Linked DNA regions of Alligator mississippiensis. The protein of the gene in region 2 purifies or fractionates together with the protein of the main gene of each other region. This does not show direct contact. Links are inferred from orthologs where the notes say so. Each region holds a gene or a part of one and is shown on either strand. Other genes may lie near its edges.

Region 1 (10,536 bases), on a different chromosome or scaffold from region 2:
GTGGGGGCCCGGACCCCAGTGTTTAGATGCTTGCTCATGAAGGCTCTCTATTCAGCCAGACCTGATCTGGACTGCTATGCTGCACAGTCAATCCTTGTAACATGTTCAGCTGCCCCCACAGGAGTGTTGTCTGCTCATCCCTGAAGTGTAAGGGTAAAGAATTAATCAGCTGTCCTTTACAGAGCAAAGCAAATGGGCAGAAAGCATAGCTGACAACAGTACAAGAAGAAACTTAATAGGGCAGCAATACTTCTCTCCCAAAAGGAGTCATTCCTCTGTGCAAGTACTGTACTATCTGCTAAAAATAGACATAAAATCCAATATACTTACAGTGTGTTTTTATTTTGTTTTCCTTCTGGAAACTGAGAAGCACACTGATAACAGATTTCTATTACAAATAGCAGAGTCATGCTTGAATTATTCTAATGTATTGGAGAAAGATTGCCACAGATTAGTAAATTAGAAGAGAGTAAGAAATGTCATGTGGAATTATGACAATATCGCTATGAATTCACCTTAGCTTTTATCACCGGAAAATGGATATCCCAAAGGACAGTCTCAGACTAATTTAAAAGGCAAATTTCCAAAAAAATTAAGATAATGTGTAGTTAGTTTACATATCTAAACTTGCCTAATGCAATATGAACTGCACAAGATCCCTTCAGTCAGTGTTCCCAAAGCATGCGGTGCAAAAAACTAGCTCAGGAGCACAGAAGATGTACAAACCAGATTACTGGCTTTAACACTACAGGTTGTGTTTGCAAGATTGGTTTAACTCCCCTAAAAGAAGGGCTCAGTTTTCAGATGCTTTGAAAAAAAAAAAATGCTTTAAGTAGTTAAAAAGAAACTAAACCATCCAAACACTGTTCTGTACAGTTATTTGTCAAGTGTGCTTGCAATAAGACAAATAGCCCCTTCCCCAAAAAAAGTAAGTACTCAGAACGGCACACCAAAACTATATCTCGTGGTATCAGCATCATTCCAAGCATCACAGCTGTGCTTCAGTGCTTCTTAGCTGCTGCAACACATTCTAACAATTTTTTTTGCAAATGACCAAAAGCCGTAACAAATTAAATGGAGCTGCCACCCACTATACAATTTTACCTTTGTTTGATGTTAACATCTTGCTCAGATTTTGTTTACTCTTTGCACACACAAGAAAAACGAGATGTTTGCGAGTACTACCAGGACAGTTTATCGAGCACCTTGCATATACTCCCTAGTTTACACAGTCTGAAAAGGAAGCTTTTCATTATAGAAGCAATGACTGGGTTGTACCCACTGGAGGACATACACAGCTGGAATACTCCCTAACTCTACACACCCTGAAGTATACTTATGGCATCCCTCAGGGCAAAACACTATTTTTAAAACCAAGAGAGACGAGGCAGGTCTAAGCACCATGTTTGATACTGGTCATCCAACAGCTGGCTGGACTATGGCATCCGAAATGGCTAGGCACCCCAAGAACTATGAGTCTAAACCCAGCAGGATCAACTGGGACTTTCAACTTTCCAGAGCAGCTAGAACAAGTGTTCTGTGATCTTTTCCAAGAGGGACCTGGGGCAGAGCACAAGGGGGAGGGAGAGGAATGTGTTTAGATTTAAAACTAGTATCTCTCACTGAACTTAAAATGGCACTTAGGAACAGATCCGTCTTATCCTATGCACATCTACTAAATCCAGCTGATCCAAAATGTACCGAGTCAGCCAAAATGATGCATCACGCAACAACACGGCTGCAAATGTGTTCATGTTTCAAGTCCTCTCAAAAAGCAGGGACTAGTACAGAATTTTGAAAAGGTTCTCTTGTCCCAAGCATGAAGGACACGTGCCTGGTGATCTCCACTGTTATTAAATATTTAGCATGGCTGACCATTGCTTTTTGGGGTATAACTGAAGGCATCAATCAAATTCAAAGTGGCTGGAGACATGCCTTTCCCCAAATGCAATACTCCCAGTTATAATGTGCAGAGGTATTCAAGCTGGACTCTTCTTTTAAGAGGCAAAAATTCTACTGAGAAAATGTTCTCTCACCCCCCGGAGAAAGATAAGCTTTAATATTTACGGTACTCAACAAAACCTACTCATTCTCATGAGTTTTTGCTGTGGGCCTGGACCATGACAGAAGTGAGGATGACACCTGTAACTGCAACAAGATATAGGTTAGATATTAAAAAACTTCTACCTATTCAGTGCTGGAACAAATTACCCAACAGTTGCAGAACCTGTCACTAGAATCTCCTAAATGAAGGCTAGACAAACATCTGACTGTGATCGTTTAGAAAGGAATAACCCAGCCTTGAACAGAGGCTTGGATTAGATGATCTCGAGGGCCTTTCCATCCCCATCTTTCTATGATTCCATTGATATTCCAAATGTTTAACTCCAAGTATGTGAATGAGACCCTGAACCTAGTGCTCTGAAAAGACCTATTTTATGCACAAATTGAAATAATGTCTCTGTTTATTTCCCCTGCCCCTTGTTTAAGCTGGAGACACTGACTCCCATTATGTGCTTGTACAGTATTTGGTAACAAAAGAGTCTCCATCTTGGTTAAGGCCTCTAGGCCTTGTGATGACAATATATTCAATATCATTGTGTGTAAAACAAGTGCAAGCTCCTCATTACCCGCTGTTTTGAGGGAAAAATGAAATAACTGCCTCAAACTTCTTGAACCTGTCAGTGTGACAAGGACTCAGATGCTCACTGCATAGAAAAGATCTCAAAACAGGCAATATCGTTTTACAGCGTTTTACGACAGCGATCGATAGATCTAGCGATCGACAGATCTTCTAGTCGTGGCCTTTACACATTCAACTGGAAGAATTACACTATAACAGCACCACTTTCGAATCCTAGAAGTTTGTGGATACAGGGAGCTTCACGCAAGGAACGGTGTCAGGTTGCCTTACGTCAGGGGCGGGCAATTATTTCGTGTGGAGGGCCGCTTACTGAGTTTTGACGAGCCATCTAGGGCCGCGTGACAGGCAGCCAGGGGCCAATATATATTAATTTTATAAATTTTTTAGGGGCCCCGCGGGCCAGATGGAATGGCCTGGCAGGCCGCATCCAACCCACGGGCCGTATTTTGCCCACCCCTGCCTTAAGCAGACTCTGCACAGACAGATGGACCTGTACAGACCGACGAGTGTAGCGTAAGACCCTTGGTCAATTACCATTCCTACTCTTGTGCTCATTGCTATCTTAAGCAACAGTCAAATTACTACCCGTTTATTTTAAGAGTCTTTGAAACAGCTTTCAAAGATCGAGGAAATGCACGATTCCATTCACAAAACACCCCTCAGACGTCCTCGCCCGAGCCTGCTCCCATCGTTCCCACGACAGGTTCAACATCAGACGTGCAACAGGCTGCGGAGGTAACAGCGCCCTCGACTTACGTCCACGCCACAGATTCAGCTCGTCCTACGCACATCTACCAAATCCAAAACACACTAGACCAGCCCCATCATGAATGCGCGTCACCGACACGCGTCAACCCAAAGCCACCATTCGGCGTTCGCAAATCGATCGCGGACGCGACGCTGGCAGCCCTTCTCCGCCGCACACGGCACCTACGTAGGACAACCAGGCGCTTAAGCGGCAGGGGTCGGACTAGGCGCGACCTCGGCGGCGGGCCCCTTCCAGCCCTCCTTTGCTACGGTTTTCGGTCACGGGCCGGCGTTTGCTTTTCGGTGACAGCGCAATGAAACACAACGCAGAGGATGGGACGCTCCGGAGACTCGCGTCCAGGTCGCTGAGGCCAAGATGAAGAAACACCTTGGGGGTTTGGTTGGTTGTTCTGGGGTTTTTTCCTCAACCCCTGAAGTCTCTCCGAGAAGTTGTGCTTTGCAAGTAAGCTCCGCCCGCCCTCCCCTCGGCCTGCCCTCAACACCTGCCTCCCTGCGAGCAGCCGGAGCCCGGCCGTGCCCAGCCCCGCGGCTCAGGCCGGCCCTGCAGGCACCTCTCCCCGCAGCCCCCGCCAGGAGGGACCCCGGGAGCGCGGCTCCGGCCCTGCCAGGCCCCCCCTTACCATGATGTCTCCGCGGGGCGGGGCTGGGCGCTGGCGACTCCCGGGGCCGTCCGGTCTGCGTCTGAGCCAGGCCGCGGCCCTTCCACTTCCGCCGTTGCCTAGGAGTGAACATCCGGGTCACAGCCGCCCGGCCCCGGCCCCGGCCCCGCCCCTCGCCGCCACCCGGGCCAATCAGAGCGCGGGCTGCCGGCCATCGCCAAGTATGGAGAGCGGCCCGCGTTCTGGAGGGGAGGGGAAGGAGCGGGGCGCTGGGAGAGACCATTCTCTTCTCTGGAGGGGGGTGGAGATAGAAAGAAGCAGGGTTGAATGGAGGGATGAGCCCAACTGAAAGAACAACCTGAGTCATTAAATGGGTGAAAGGAAATTAAATCAGGGAGAGGAGACACCAAGGGGCTGAGGAAGAAGGGGAAAAGGACAGGGGGAAGCAACCAACTCCAAGGAGGGGGGGAAGAACAGAGCGCCCAATCAGGGAGGGGAACAGGGAAGCCCGGGAGAAACCAATAGGGAGGGGAACGGGGGGACGGGAGAGACCAATAGGGAGGGGACTGGCGGGGGACCGGGAGAGACCAATAGGGAAGAGAACAGGGGGAGACGGGAGAGGCCAATAGGGAGGGACACTGCAACGTTACACGCCCTAGGTTCAGGGTGGTTGGTCCTGGTGCAGCAAGGGGCTCAGGCTCTCTGCAGACTCTAGCAGCCTGTTGTACAGGGATTGTGCGCACTGGGTAGTGCTTTGGGGCAGCAAGGGTGAAAAGCGGGGAAGGGGGAGAGGTCAGTTAGGTTTTTAATTAAAAAATAAAATCAAGTTGGGAAAGTGGAACCCCCCCAGCCTGCACCCGCTGTGACCCCAGCCTCCGCCACTGGGAAGCTCTGGCTTCTGCCACTGAGGACAAAGCAGGAAGTAATGGTAGTAGGAGGCTGTCGCCCTCCTGGGAGGCAGTGGGAAGGGGGATGAGGCGCACGCCCTGCTAGTGGTTCTCGGTGAGGTGCTGATAGCAGGCGGGGGGGTGGGGAGACTCCCACGTCTTGGGTTCATCCGGGCTCTAGTCTGGAGGGAAGAACAGGTCGGCCTGCTCCTGGTACCCTGAATCCTGCCCCTCCCGCCCGTCCCTGTTCTGTCTCGTACTGTCCCTCCTTCCTCCACCCACTGAGCTCTGACTCGTTCTCTTTACTCCTAGCCAGTTCCAGTTTCTACCATCTTTGCCTTCCCGTTTCAGTATGTCTCTTTGTCTAGTCTGTTCTAGTTTCCCATTCCACTGTCCCAGTCCCAGTCTTCCCCCACTCCACTGTCCCAGTCACATTTCACCACTGCTGACTCCTTATCCTAAATCCTGCATTCTGATTCCCCAATTCCCCCCGATGCTCTTTGTCCAGCCAATTCCAGTCACCCTGCCTCCCTCAGAAAGCTTTCTTCTAAGTTAGCCTGGGTGCCAAGGGGGGGAAGGTGAGAGCACGGGAAAGACCATGTCTTTAGCCTCAGACCTGGTATCTGGCTCTAAAGCAGTTTTTAAAGATTCAATTTTAGGGAAAGTCCTGCTTAATCCGTAAATCGCCGGGATGTAGTATGCTCAGCTTCATAGGCATGTAGGAGCTAAAACAAAATAAAACTTTTTCAGAGCAGATGAAACATTCATGGAATTTAGCTGCCAGACTCTAGCAAACCTTTCCCGAAAAGGTGTGAGCTGAGCTTTTTTTTTTTCAAAGTTTATAACTCGGATAAAAATTCATGTGTTTTCTTTTTTCACCCCAGGAACATCAAGAGGCATATCCCTGACACCTGATGACCACACCACGTGCTAAACTGTAAGCCTCTGCTTCAAAGCATTAAGGTACTACAGCTTCTCAATTAAACAATTGTATGAATGATTTTTACATGAGCAGAGCACAAGAGGTCCGTTTAATCTCATTCTGGGGAATATCTGAAAGTATTTAACAAAACCTTTCCAAAAAAAATCAGCCTGACGCAAACACCTAGCATAGAAAATTCCAGTGCAAGCCACTAGCATTTTGGCAAAGTGATGGGAACTGGATCTTACAATAGGAAGTGTTGGGTAATTTGAAGAATAAATGTCACTGTCTGTGCTGCCTATAATATATATTAATTATGCTTAGATTCTGGAGCACAAGTTATAGCTCCTAGCTACGTAGAGGGAACATTAATTCATTCCATAGGCAACCCATCATTCTTATGAAGAAATAGAAGCCTTAATTCAGCAAAGCATGCAAGTACCTGATTAAAGTTAGGCGGGTCTTTGGTGCATTACAGTGCTTGTAATATGGGGACCCAAATGCAAGAAGATGAAAATCAGGAAGTCTCAAGGTCTGTGTGAGTAAAGTACATCACCACTCCACTCCACCCTGCTTCCAGCAAAATAACAATTAATTAACTGTTTCAGGTGATTTATTAAATCCTGTTATTTGAGCCAAAACTGATCCTGAATCTGGCCTCTGTGTGCTGGTATTTGTGAATCACTGCTGACACATGGTTTTGACTTTATGCCCAGATGTAACTCAACTAAAGTCCGTAGAGTTACCCCCAGGGGAGAATCCACTCCATTATGGGGCAACATTTTCCTCTATAGTTCTCTTGGAACAATTGTTTGGCCCATGTTTCAAAAGGGCTTGAGTGCCAGGTTTGTGAGGACCCTCTGCTGGTGCTTTTTGGCATCTGAATTGCAGGCTTGTCCCTAACATGAGCCAAAAACCCTCTTGTTGTTCCTTTATTTTTCTTAGCCTGGAAGCATGCTCTATGGAAACTGGAAATCCTGACAAGAGGAGTCACAAAATGCTTCCTTGTCTGATGTAATGTCGTGGGAGCTGGCATGAGCGTCTCTGATAATGGTGTGGGCAACACTTGCACGAAGATTGTAACAGAAACTGTGTATTTTCGGATGAATGGCTTCTATTTTTCCATGTAATATTATGTGCATATGTCCTTCTGGCAGGAAATGACCAGGGGGTAGCTCTGATTTTACCCTAATATGTTATCACAGTTGTTCATGACTTGAATCTAAATGCTATTAAATATTAGCTCCCATTTAGAACTTTACCAAAAGGACGCAGCTCTGCCAGTGCCCATTTTTAGTGAATTTAACAAACAGTATGCACTAAACAGCTACAGATTTCCATTTTGAAAATGACAGCACTGGATTCCCTGAGCCACAGTCTATACCGGTGTAAATCAGCAGAGCTGCACTGAAGCCAGTAGCGCTATGTCACTTTGCATAATAATTTGACCTCCTCATTCTTGCCTCAAAACACTCATATGAGGTAGGCAAAGATTATTAGGCTTTTAATTTAGCAGATCTGCTGTACAGCTTCTCTCTGCTCTCAGGCTCTTATTGCGCCTCTGTGGTCAGCAAAGGAACATACAGCAAGAGAGAGAGAAACTGCAGCCGGGTGTATTTTAAACAATTTCCAAAATCCAAACGAATGTTGAGGCCAAGAGGATGTTTTCCTTAGTGGCAGAAATACAAGCATCCTGGATTCTGTTTTCCTGCTAATAGGTATAAAGACGAATAAACAGCTGCTTTCTGTTTTCCCAAAAATATTTGCATTAAGATGATCTGCAAATTCCTGCTCAGATTGATGGAACATCTCTTCAAATGAGGACCAGCTGCTTGCTCTGTTTGTTTATGGCAGGACATGCTTAAGAGACCTTTTTTTTTTTTTGTTTGTTTATCAAAATGTGGGACCAGACTCTTTCTGGTGGGCTGTAATCGCAGTGTGGGTGATGTCTGAATAAGGGGCGAGTCTGTGCATGTAACTGTGGTTGCAGCCATCCCACCTTCTGCTGTGATTTTCTGCGATTGTCAGCTAACCGAAGTTGGACTAGGGCTATTCGTGAACGGGAGGCTTCCAAGAAATGCCAAAACAGAGCAAGAGGAAGTGACATCGTTGTTACTGAACTGTTCCAAGTGGTATACTATCTAAAGGTATTGCCTTTAGTATGAGAGATTTAAAAAGGCTTTCTAATTTGGTACCCTTAAAAAGCGCACAGTATTAATTTCCAAGAATATATATGATGTTAACTGCAAGGTGCTGGGGTAATAATACAAAACTGAGCAGTGGCATGCTCTTGGCTTAAGTTCCCTTTGTAGTTTGCAGTTGGATACAGGATTTTTGCCTTCCATTCCACGTTGCACAGAAACTACTTTGCAACAATATTAAACAGTTGTGTTCCTCCCTAGAGCTGGTTGCACTTCATGGCTGAAGAAGCAACCCTTGTGCATCCTGTTGTCCCTATATTGTTTTTCAAATTGCCTATAAAATACCACAGGGATTTATGATTTTGTGGAACCAATAATATTAATAAATCAACATATAACGGTTTTTAAAGGGCACAGATTAAAGGCACAATATGAGGAATAACAGTAGCATCACCTTTGCCAATGACTGGCTTTCTCTCAACGGAAGTGATTTGCTGCTGTTCTTGAAAGCAGACTGAGATGAGTTTATGCAGTTCTCTTGTAGTAGCTACATGAATATAAAGGTCACAGAGACGCAGCTGGAGCAGAGAGAAGAGGAAACTGGAAATCCTCTGAGTCTCTGGTCAAGGAAATTCCTGGGACTGACACGGTGCTGTACCAAAGAGTGAAACCTGAAGAAAACAAAGGAAAGCACAGGATGAAATCCAGGATTAAACATTACCCAGGAGAAGAAACTTCAGGGTAGGGTCGCCTGCAAAGGATGCCTCGCAACCGGCAGTTGAAGAGGCAGTCTCTCTGGCAACCAGAAGGCAGGATGAGGAAATGAAGGAGACAGAAGGCAATATGGATAAACACTATTAGCAGCGGGAGTTTGTGAGAGCACAGAGAGCTTATAGATAGGGACCAGGTTCTGGGCTGTTCTGCACTCTGTATAGTTATTCCATCTGTGCAAAGTGAGTACAAAGTGCTACTAAATAAAGAACGGCAGGAGGTTACACTCACATTGTGCTCTCTAGATGCTGGATTCCACCAGGGGACAGAGGTTGCCCAGCAGGATTTCAGCTGGAGGCAACGGGCTCAGAGCAGACATAGATTCTGCTCCCCACTGTGCTCTTTGCTCCATGTCTGTCCTTGGACAAATAACTTGGCCCCTCTGTAATTCAGCTTCCCTGTCCATAAAATGAGGATGACAGCTCCCTCTGTAAAGCATTTTGAGATCTACCGATGAGAAGTTATTCATCTCTTTACATTTAATTAGATAAGAAGCTGATCGTGAAAATTCCTTACCATCCAGTGGCAAAAGGATTTGTCAATGCTGCTGGGCACGGATTACAAATACCAGAATAAAATACGCTTCTGATTTTGATTTTGCCACTAGATTGCACTGGTGGCTCTGTGCACTAGACGGAGAGAACAGAACAATGGTGGGTTAGTTGCTTTATCACCTCCAGAAACAGCACCTTGCTTGGTTTCACTGGGTCTGGATTCAGTCAACTGCAAGCATTTCCCACACATGGGAACATCCACCATAAGAGAAACAGAATGTGCTCTGATGGGCTTAGTGTCAGACATTATGTGTCTTAAAAATGAGGGGAATATAAACAAAGGAGCAAACAGTGATTTCAGTTGACAGCTTAACAGCTCAACAACATCAGATTCATGTGCAATTAATAAGAGGGCTTTTGATCCTGCAATCAGTGTCTATAAAATACATGTGGTTTCCCTGTATACTTGATTATATTTAAGGAAGCAAAAGGATAAATACTTTTTTTTTATTAGCATAACAAAGTACTTTTCACTTCAAGCCAGAACTTTGCAAAACATTTGTGGTCTGACACGATGTGCTTTTCATTTCATCTTCCTGCATATGTTGAATATACAACAAAATGCTTCCTATGCTTTTTATTCCAGTGTTTAGCAAGAACCAAAGAAACTCAATTGGAGAGTTTATTGGATCTGAGATTTTAGAGGGAAAAAGTGCTTGTTTTTTAAATGCAATGTTTTCTCCATATATAAAGGCAAAAAGAAAAAACAACTGTGTTTTTGAAGTCAAAGTACCCAACTATCTTTTTATAATTTTATTTTAAGCTTGTGGAACTTTAAAAGTATATGAACCTATGTTATGGCTTCTCGTGAAGTTGTGTTACAATTCAGTTTGGGTTTTTTGCTAAAAGATCCTCAATTTCTAGCCCTTGCAAAGGTCGCTTCAGTGGTTTTTATTGCTCAGAATTGGTAAACCAGTGACATTGGTTGGCTCGAGGCCAAGAACCTGAGTGCTTCTTGGAAATATGAAAAGGAAAAATCATGGTTCAGAGGTACCCACAAGACTACCCAGTGGTTTTGAATTCCACATCCAGCCCCACCGATAGCTTTCGCTATGGAGATAGTCTTTGTACACAGTAGCAAAACAGCATATGAATAGGAAAGAATATACTTTCCACCCCGGCTAATTCTGAAACAGCTTTACCTAGGATACATTTGGAATGTAAAATCTGTTCTTTTAACAGTTTTCCCATTCACTGCAGTCTCTGATGAGTAAATCAAAATGCCACGTTTAATAAAACCCAACACGCTG
Region 2 (10,272 bases):
CCCCCAGCTCTTCCATTTCCCAATCACTTGGCGCAGTGCTGGAATTCAATGAGGTAAAGCCAGGGCCTGGTCCCGTTGCTGTGGCAACACCCTCCCACTAGATTTCGGGAGAGGGCCAGATCGTGGCCAAGCAGAGAGCGTGTCCTAGCACAGCCAAGACTGGACACCATCTCGGAGTCTCCCCTGACCCCAGGCTCAGCCCACCCCCCTCCTCCTGCACAGCTACTAGGGCATGACCACTCCCAGGCCAGCAAAGTGCCAAGGCAGGGGCCAAGAAAGCAACTGCATAAAGCATGGGGCAGGCTGTAGGGAATTGAGCCATGAGCAGGACCCAATGACCCCCTTCTATCTTACCCCCCCCACCTTGTGCCCTACACCTCCTACCCCACACACTGCCCCAATCACTGTTCCCCCCCTTTCCCCGATGCACACCCCCTATCCCAATATGTAGACACTCCTTCTACACTGCATCCCCTCCCTAGACCCCAATTTGTCCCCCAGTGGTGCTGATACCCCAACTCTCCATCCATACTATGACCCCTCCATAAACCCCAACACAGCCCTGCCTGTAGTGCCAAAAGCCACTGAATATCCAACCACACTGTGCCCCCTCCTGACACTGACTCACCTCAAAACTGCACCAGTATCTGTCCTTCCCTCTGCACTGGGTCCCCTCCCCATAACCCAATTCATCTGTCCCACGGGTGCCAACATCCTTACCTTCCACCCACGCTTCACCCCCCCCCTGCCCCCCCCTCCCCATAATGTCCATATCCCTTCTTGCTCCACAAGTTCAGAACTTATATTCTCAGGCTTTCCTCCAATAACTCCTCCTGCTTTTCCCCACCACTGAGAAAGCATTGGCTGGGCACTGCCCAGTCTCCCTCTTCTGGCATCACCTGGGCTTCTGACTTAGTCACCCCCAGTGACGTGCAAAGCTGTAGTACAATCTCACAGATGAGTGAGTGAGTCTCAGTCATTCTACAGACTATGGACCATCAGACTACTCTGAGCCAGGACCAGGGTCCAAATATGGCCTCTCCTAAAGCCTGCCGAGGGGTGCATTGTCCAATAAAGGCATTCCTGGAAGGAGTCTGTCCTTCCTAAACCTTACCCCCTCTCCACTGGGGGAACCCCACACATGCCCCTGAACTCACCCTGCCAGCCCCCATCAGGAAAGCATGCCCGAGTATTTGTCCCACAGAGCATCTCTCCAGCCATGTCCCCAGGCACTCTCTCTCAGCCAAGTGCTAGATGCAGCCAAGTGCGGCACAGCACCATTCAATTAGAGCACATTCTGTCCCCAGGTGCAGAACCAAGTGGGAAGAGAATTAGGCAAGATGAAAGACCTGCCAGATGGCCCCAGAGATAGCAGAGAGGGAGAGGGGGTCACAATGGGGGGCATCCTGAGAAGGCAGATCAAGGGGGACAAGTGGAGAAGAGCTGATTTATGTTTCCTGGGCTGGGCAGTCCCTGGAAAAGGGGCTCAAGGCAGGAAAGGCTGAGCTGAAGGGAAGCCAGGCAGCATTTTCTACCCAGGTGGGAACATAGAGAGTGGATCCAGACCTCTGAAGAGAGAGGGGAACCAGGAACTCAGAAGAGGGGGAATATAAGGGGCAGGGGCAGAGCACATCTCCTAGCAAAGGGCTCTAGGAAGAGGGGGACAGATCAGGCCAAAAGATACCTTGACAGGAGAGAAGGCCGTGGGCGTAAGAGAGGCTCTTGGTGGGGGACAGTCATCCTTCTCATGAGTTCATTCAGGCCAGGCCCATGCTACAGGTGTTGGCCCAGGGGCATCAAGAGCCATAGTATTAGCCAAAGCCTGTTTTCACTAGCACAGCTGGTTTTGATGGAACAAGGATTGTTACATCAGTACAAAACACCACTTTACTAGGCTGTCCACGTCCACACTAAGAACACAGACAGCACAGCAAAGCCCACTAGCATCCCTGTAGCAGCAGGGTGCTCCTGGTACAGACACAGGCCTGGTCTATGCTGGAAAAAGCTTTGCTGTCAGCAACCTCCTTCCTATCTACAAAAGATCACTTCTGCCAGAAGAGTTTATACCATCCCCAAAGGGATGCAGTCTCCCAAAAGACCAAGCCAGCATGCCTGTGTCTATGCTACAAGGATGTATTTGGTAGCTGTGCTGGTCTGAGACAAAAAGAAATGCAAAACTTTGCAAGTTTATTTTCTACCTATGGGGACTTTTACCATCTTCCCTCAGCTTGAAAAAGGGTACATGTGCCCAAATGCTTGCAAAAAAAGATAATTTTTTTGCAATGTCTTAGTCTTATAAAAGGTATCATCTCTGAACCAAGAGTTCTAGAGTTTTTAATTTCTTTGCGTCTATGCTAGACATTTCAGTTGCCTAGCTGTATTGGTCAGGGACCACAACTCTTCACCTTCTGACCAACAGAGCTATAACCAGCAGCAGACTACAGCACAGGCCTGACTCTACCACATGCCTGTTGCTACCATCAGCGCTCAGGTCACCCTGAGAAGTGGGCATAAGGGAACCAAGGCGAAATGAGAAGAAAGCCCCAGCTATCTCCAGGGTCGAGAGCAGGGGACTCCCAGCAGAGGACGAATAGCGTGTAGCATCAGACCAGGAATATTAGAGCAAGAACCCTCAGATACAATGACTAGGAGCCAAAAGTTCACCTGTAGTAGAAGGGCAAAGGCAAAGAGATGGAGCCTTCTGCTCCTGCCCCAGAAAGGAACAGCTCACTAGCAGCTTGGTGGAAGGTAGTTGGGAGCCACAATCAAAAGGAAACTGAGTGAAACCAGCTCTAGGGACTGAGAGACCGAGTGGGGCAAGCCCAAGCATCAAGGCTTAGTGGTGCCATCACTACAGCAGCAATGCCAACTCTCACAAAACAGTTGTGAGATTCCCGATTTCCAAATCAAATTAACGCTAACTCATGATCTCAGGATATAACCCTCAAATCACAGGACTTTTCTACTGGCGCATAGAGTGCACCCAGCTGGTAAGTTTGTGGAGGGGAAAGGAAGTGGGGGCAGATCGAGGCCCCTATGGTGAGGGAGGGAGTGGGGTAGGAGCTGGGGTTAATGGGGCGCACTGGCCGCGCAGCATGTCCCCTGACAACAGGAAACATACTGGCACTGTGTGGCTGAGCTCCTGGGGCAAAGGCACCAAGGCACAGAGCTCTGAGCCTGCAGCCTCTCTCTGCCTCGTGGGGGGCACATGAACTCCATGCCTCCCCGGGGGTGTGCACAGCTGTGGGTAGCTGCCCCCCACCCCTGGATGACCTGCCCTGGCTCTGGGGCCACATTTATCCCAGCCCCTGCCTCACTCCTTCTCTCACTACAGGGGCCAGATCAAAGCCCCTTCCCCTCCACTTACCAGCTGGGTGCTGTCCCTCTGTGTGTCCGTGTGTGTGTGTGTCTGTGTCCGTGTGTGTGTCCCTCACTCCCAAGCCACAGCCCCCCCAGCCTTGCTGCTGCCCCTCACTCCTGACCCACAGTACCCCACATCCTGCTAGTACAGGCAGGGCCCCCCACCCTCATCCCCCAGCTCCTTCGTAAACAACCCCTGACACACGCACACACTTCAAAAATAGCATCGCATGATTTACATGCCAATCTCTTGATTTTTTTTTTAAGTGTTTGTCTCATGACTTGGCATGGTGGGGTTGCAACGCAGCTACAAGGAGCCAAGCCCCGGAGGCAGGAACAGGAACATTCCTCCGCCTCCCCAGCCCCAGAAAACCTGGCAAGGGGCGCGCTGTGTGCACTGCACCGCACCGCACCGCAGCGCCCTCCCGCCCGCCTTGGCACCAGCCTGTGCCCCAAGGGCCCAGGGGCGCGCGGATCACACCCGGGGCGGCCCCGCCCCGGCCCGGGCCTGGGGCCCGCACCCGCCTGCGCGCGCAGCCGCACGCGTAGGCCCCCCCCCGCGCCGCCCCCGGCCTCAGCCCCGCGGCACCCCGCCGCCCCGGCCAGCCGGCCGGGCGGGCGGGCACGCACGGGGTCCCGCACCCCCGCCGCTCACCCGCTAAGCTCCGCGCCGCACCGCCCGCGTCCTCCACCCTGCATATTCATGAGCCCCGCCCGCCCCTGCTGCATATGCATGAGGCGCGCGGCTGCCGCCCGTAGCCCCGCCCCGCTCACGTGTCGCCAACATGTCATGGCGGGCCGGCTGCGCAAGCCGCGGGAGGGGGGCGGGGCTCCGCTGTGCCATTGAGGGCGGCTAGAGCGGCCCCGCGGCTGCCCCAGGTCCAGGCGCCTGCAGCCCCCCCCGGCGGGGGGCTCCGACCATGCAGGAGCTAGGGCTGTAGCTCCGTCGTGCCCAGGGGCGCTCCTCGCGTGTCGCCCCCCCGCGCCCAGGGCCCGTCCCGCACAGCTTGAGCAGCTAAACCTGGTGCGGCACGCTTTAACCAGTGCGTTAGGAATTTTAAACCCAAAATTTACACCCCGGCTTCTCAACCCCTGCCTGGGAGACAGCCTCCCTTCAACTTACTTAGGGATGACCCTACCTCGAGGGCAGGACGGGACTAGATGGCCCTTGCAGCCCGCCTTCCCTGGGGCCCCCTCTGGAGGGCAAGCAGGATCGTGGTGCTGGAGCTCTAAAGCTAGTTCAGGTGAAGCCCCTCCACTCTTGCACCCCTCCACACAATCACCCCCGCCGTCCACAGCTCTCCCTGTCCTGCTCCCCAAAGCCTGCCCGAGCTGCAGCGACAAACAACGGAAGCTGGGGCAAGCACTTCTCAGTACACTGGATGCAAAACCTTCTCTTCAACATGCCCCCTCTCCCAACAGCCACCCACTATCACACCAGTGTTGAGCAGCCCTCCCCACAACTTCTGTATGTTACCCAACACCACCCTGTACTCCTTCCTTCTGCACCCAGAAAGGAGGCAGCACCCCCTGCAAAGTGAGGGAGAGCCCCCAGTGCTTTATCTGGCTCACAGGACCAGTATAAAGACAGGTGCATGCTGCCTGGATGGAGGAGTTGCTTTAGCTGCCATTAGCGCATCTCCTTCCCAATTAACTGCTGGCAACTGGGAGGTTCCAGTAAATAACCTCCAGAAAACTAAGCTGATGGAAATGGGAGCCTAGGGAATTTCATAAGCAGGGCATCCTCCATCTGCACAAATATTAACCTCCGGCTGGCTGGCTCGGAAGGGCCCCAGGCTGCCTAGCACATTCCACCTCCCCTCCCCCTCACCAGGCACAGCTCTCTTCCCCCTCTCCAAGAGCTCCAAAGACAGTTCTCAGCAAGACAGCTCAGCACTGATTCAATTAAAGAAGACAGAGAAGCAGCTCTGCGTCACAGGTGATGGGAAATGGAGCCGGAAGGTCTCCTGTAGCTCCTCTAATGGAGTACTGAGGTCCGGTAATAGGCACTAATCTGATCAGGACGCATTCCCCAGGTCAGATTAGCACGCCTTGGCAGGAACGTAGTGGGGAGAGAGCTGTAATGGAAGTAGACCCATCCATCTGCTGATCCACTTTACAGAGCTTCTCCCCCTCCTCTCCTGGCTGTTACTGATTAAGAGGATAAGAGCTACAGGCCCAAAGGTGGAGTAGAAAATGACACTAAATCGCCGGGAGATGGGGAAGGGCAGAAATGGCAAGATGTAGCCTCCTCCTTATGCCTCCTGCATGGTAGGGCAGAGCTGAGCTCCTGATTCCACCTGTCTGCAGCAGGGGTGGCTGATTTAAGTCCTCCTTGAAAGTGGCAGTGGTACCAGATGGTAGTCTGCCCCTCCCTCCTGGGAGTTAGGGCAGAGCCCCCAAGCTCATCTTAAGACTGCTCTCTATTGACTGCCTGCCTCCATTAGGCTGCTCTGAAAAGGCTAGATGGCCCTTTAACACAATTAGGGCTGCTGCAGCCACCTGCAGGGGCCAGCAGTCTTAATGGAAGGCAGTAAGATAAGGCTCTGGCCCCAACTCAGCATTGTGGGGAGTGTCACACACGCACCGAAGTGCCAGAGATATGCACCTGGCACAAGCAAACCTGGCAGGTCCCCTATGGGTGAGGGTGTAGATCTCTCTTGGGCAGACACAGCTCTTTGTCTGTGTCCCCACTCATTCCATCCCTCTTTGTTTACCCACAAAGAAGCTCTGTCCAAAGACACTTGATTTTTAATTCAACCCATGTGGCAGCCCAGAAATACAAAAAAAAGAAACAAATCGGAACATAAAAACACTGATAGGGCAAGAAAGCGAGGGGCCTAGGAGCCCTTGCAGCCACCTCCCCAACACTCCCCCACCACACTCTTCACAGCCTATCACACAAAGGACCCCCCAAGTAACCTTCAGTGACATGCAAAGAAAGGAAGTGTGTGCTTCCTAAACCCTCACCAGCAGGAGCTGTGAAGGATGGTAGAGCTCAGGGAGCAGGACACAGCAGGAGGTGGCTGGGGCCAGGGCAGAGGCATCAGGGAAGGAGCAGAGCCAAGGTCTGGTTCTAGCCAATGGTGTAGACCTCAGTATGACACCCACCCCTCCAGTCCTCCCAGTTGGATGACGGGAAACCTGGGTGCAGAGGACTGGGCCTTGCCCTGCTGACCTAAGAAGAGTGCCATTGGCTCAAGGGGCAGGGCTGAAGGGAGGGCAGGGGTAGGTTCTCTAATCTGAGCCAGATGCTGAGTCCTCTGAGCTGGGGGGTGTGCTGGCAATCTCCTCCTCCTCCGAGTCCTGGGGGAATGCATGAAAAGAGAGAGTCAGCCGGTGACACATGCAAGAGCCATGGGTACAGCAGCCAGCTGGAGGATGGGGCCCCCCACCCATGGAAGGCAGTGCTGCACCTACCTCCTTCTTGCTCTCGCCTGAGGAGCTTTCATCACTGGAGACAAACTCCTTGCTCTTGAAGCTTTCAGTGGTGGGCTTGACTGGGGACTTCGAAGATGGAGACTTGGAAGACACCCCCTTCTTCTCCACTTTCCCCTTCACCTGTTTCTCCTGCTTCTTCTTCTTCTTTTTTGACTTCTCCCTAAATACAAGAGAGCCACCGGGCACAGAGGTTACCCACAGCCACCACCTGGGTCCCTGCCTCTGGGATGGTAGAGCCATGGGGGACTTGCTCACCCCACCCTGGGGAAGTGCCCAGGCTCCACCATAATGGGAGGGAACAGAAGTCATTCACCACAATCTCGCTCACCTTCCCCGGGCAGAATGGGTCCTCCAAAAGGAGACATGACTCCTTATCACTCCCACCCTCCCCCCTGGGTTCCCCAAAGGCTGGTGCACTCACGTCCTGGAGCTCTCTGATTTGCCCCCAACACTGTATTCTTTCATGGCCTTCTCATAGTCTCTCTTGGCATCTTCTGCCTTGCGTTCCCACACCTGTTGGAAGTGCAAAGCGTCAGTCACAAACCCACAACAGCAATTCCACCCCTGCCCCCCACCCAACATGCTGCTACTCCTGCACCATACACCATCCCACCCCCAACTGGCAATCTCACAACTCAGCAAGCCACCCAACCATCCTAAGGGCCAGAGGATGGCATCCCCCAAGCACAGACCTACCAACACCATCCTGGCAGCCCCGTCACACCCACACTACCCTAACAATTCAAACATGCTACCACAGCTCCTCCCAGTCCTTTACCTCTTTCTTCTCCCTGGACATGGCCTTCCAGAGCTCCCCAGCCTTCTTGGACAAGTCAGTGATGCTGATGCCAGGGTGGTCTGATTTTATCTTCTCACGACTAGCATTTAGCCAGAGCATGTAGGCAGACATTGGCCGCTTAGGGGCATCGGGGTCCTTGCTTTTCTTACCCTGGGACAGTGGAAGGGGGCAGCAAGGGAGGGAGAAGGGGAAAGAGAGAGAAGCAGCATGAGATCCCCTTAGAGCTCATGGGCTCAGAGGACCTCCTCATAGCAAGGGCTGAGGTCATTCCCCACTCAAGCCCCATTAACAGCATGGCTAGAGTGGGACACCCCCTCCCACAGCCAGGACATCCACTGGGCCCCAGCAACACAAGCCCTTTGGAGGGGAATTATTCCTGATGGAGCTCTACCTGGACAGAAAATTGCTATTAGGGCTCAGATGATACACTGAGCTGACAGAACTGGACTGGCAGGGGTGGAGGGAGGCTACAGAGCTATCCTGGGCTTGGCAAGTGGGCCACAAGCAGAGTCTAAGTCAAAGTCACCCCCTCTACAGACTGGTCACTGCCTTGTGGGAAGTCAGGTCAGGGGGAGCAGGAGTGTCAGACCAGCTTCCCAGAGCTCAGGGTACTCACTGGCCACGTCAGTAGCATGAAGACCTGGGTCTTCACGTGCCAACAGAGGATCCCTGCAGGGCAGGAGCAAGGCAAGCTAGTGAGGAGTGAAGCTGACACTCATCCTCCCAGGACAGAGGATGTTGCTTGGTTGTAGAAAGCACTGGGGACCACTGCATCCAACCCCATCTCGTTTCTCCCCTTGCCTGGGCACAGCCCTCACCTCCAACTGTTTCTTGCGAGGTTTGCGCTCCCTGACAATCTTGGCCTTCTTGGCTGGTTTCTTCTCGTCACGGTCACTGTCACCATCACCACTAGAGGAGCTGGCTGAGGGATGGCTGTTGAATCTGCAGGAGGAAGCATCAGCTGGGAATCAGCCCCATGCCCAGAAGAGTTACTGGGGGCAGGGATCGCAAACTCCAAGAAGGTGCTTTAGCGAGGACAAAAATGAAGGTTATCTGGGGGCATGACATAAAGAGGCCACCTCTGAGACCTTAGCTATAGGGGTAGATGCATTTTACACAGAAGCCAGCCCTTACCCAGAGAGAAGCCAGGGCCTAGCCTGTCCCTGGGAACAAGCTGTAATGTCTTGTTCTGGTTCTGCAATTCTCCAATAGGGCCCTGTACCCTCCCCTCATCTTTCCCCCTTGAGGGACTCCCAAGTGAGTGGTGACCTCAAAGAGCAAGCCCCTTGGCCTGTTTTCCTGCTCTCTCAGGAATCCCTCTGGCCAAGGTACAATCTAAGAACATCAGCTCTCATCAAAAGACCATTCTGAAGCACAGAGCCTGACCAAAGACAAGAGGAAAGACCAAACCTCATACCTCATCGCAGTGCCTGGGATGGGCACAGAACATCAGAGCCCTTGTCCCAGGGTGTTAGGCACCTTCCCCCAAAGAACTTATAGGTAGCTAGCTCAAGAACTTTAGATGCAGACAGAACCTGCTACAGAAATGCAGCCAGATCAGAGGGGAAAGATAGTAGCTGCTTCCTTGCTTGTGGCAGTGCTACAATGGGGGCAGAAAGTGAAGAATCCAACTGGAGCCTCACTAGTTAGCCAAGCCACATTGCTCAGGTGCTGCTTTGCTTAATATTCCCCGCAACTCCTGTGAAAAGCCCCAGCAGAGGGGCAAGCAGGTCAGTCTCACATCTCCTAGAGAAGATGGCACTGACAGCATCCCCTGTCAAGATTCCCTCCTACCACTAAGCCAGGGATCTAGAACTGGTGGGCACTGTGAGGGGTAGGCACCTATGCCAAGCCATAGCACCCTCAACCACCACAGCCAGGCTGGCACTGGTAGCACCACTTAGGCCATGCCAAGAGCGTATCAAGGGACACCCACCTACCCATCCACCCAGAAATAGGAACAGCCCCCCCCCCCCCCCCCAGCCCCTACTCACTCCTCTGCCACATCATCATCCTCCTCCCCAGGGTTGAATGACTCATCTGGAAGAAAAAGCATACAAGTCAGTCTGACTGCTGGGGGTCATGGCAGGCTAGGCAGGAGGTACACAGCAGTCACCCAGCAGTGGAAGCTCTCAGGAGTCTGGGAAAGGACCAAATAAAGGAGACAGGACCTCCCCACTCCGCACCACTGAGACTGAGTCAATAGCCCCAACCACCCACCGCAAGGAGGCAGAATCTCCCAGGTCTCAGCTAGGGAGAGCTCTCAGCTGCAAGGAGAGGAGCACTAGGAAACAGTCAGCACCAATGCTGCTCCTGCCCCACCTATCCCACCCTACCCGAAGGCAGGGCCCTCACCTGTCTCTTCCCCAGACTCATCGCTGCTGTCATTGGCATTCTCCTCACGGATCTTGCCCTCTTCCTTCATCCTCTCCAGGTAGGCGTCATGCTGGTCCTCATCTGAATCAGCATATTCATCGTAGCTCTGCTTGATGTCCTGGAGCACCATGGGGAAGCAGTGAGTGCTGCTCTCCACCCTTTCCCCTTTCCCACCCTCAAAGAGGGGCAGACAGACACTCTCCTCCCCACCCTAGCATGCGGAGAACCTAGAACTACAACTCCCAGCATGCTCCTGGGCACTGCCCTGACCCTAGGAGTCAACTCCACACATGGTG

What was found. Proteins that work in one complex are often made in the same cells at the same time.
Region 1: the proteins of TNKS1BP1 (region 2) and CAPZB purify together in Homo sapiens (co-immunoprecipitation; 5 studies listed by BioGRID and IntAct, with this or other methods). This does not show direct contact. The link is inferred for Alligator mississippiensis from reciprocal best matches to the Homo sapiens genes TNKS1BP1 and CAPZB.

The regions. Positions count from the first base shown.
Region 1 is NC_081836.1:5,009,948-5,020,483, forward strand, and holds the start of CAPZB (F-actin-capping protein subunit beta), read right to left. Parts: upstream 4,144-10,536; 5' UTR 4,036-4,143; coding exon 4,033-4,035; intron 1-4,032. UniProt on the Homo sapiens protein: F-actin-capping proteins bind in a Ca(2+)-independent manner to the fast growing ends of actin filaments (barbed end) thereby blocking the exchange of subunits at these ends.
Region 2 is NC_081825.1:172,868,699-172,878,970, reverse strand, and holds the start of TNKS1BP1 (182 kDa tankyrase-1-binding protein), read right to left. Parts: upstream 4,120-10,272; 5' UTR 4,016-4,119; intron 1-4,015. Other genes in the region: FACT complex subunit SSRP1, read right to left, coding at 6,598-6,666, 6,781-6,961, 7,223-7,314, 7,580-7,750, 8,419-8,542, 9,595-9,640, 9,956-10,094.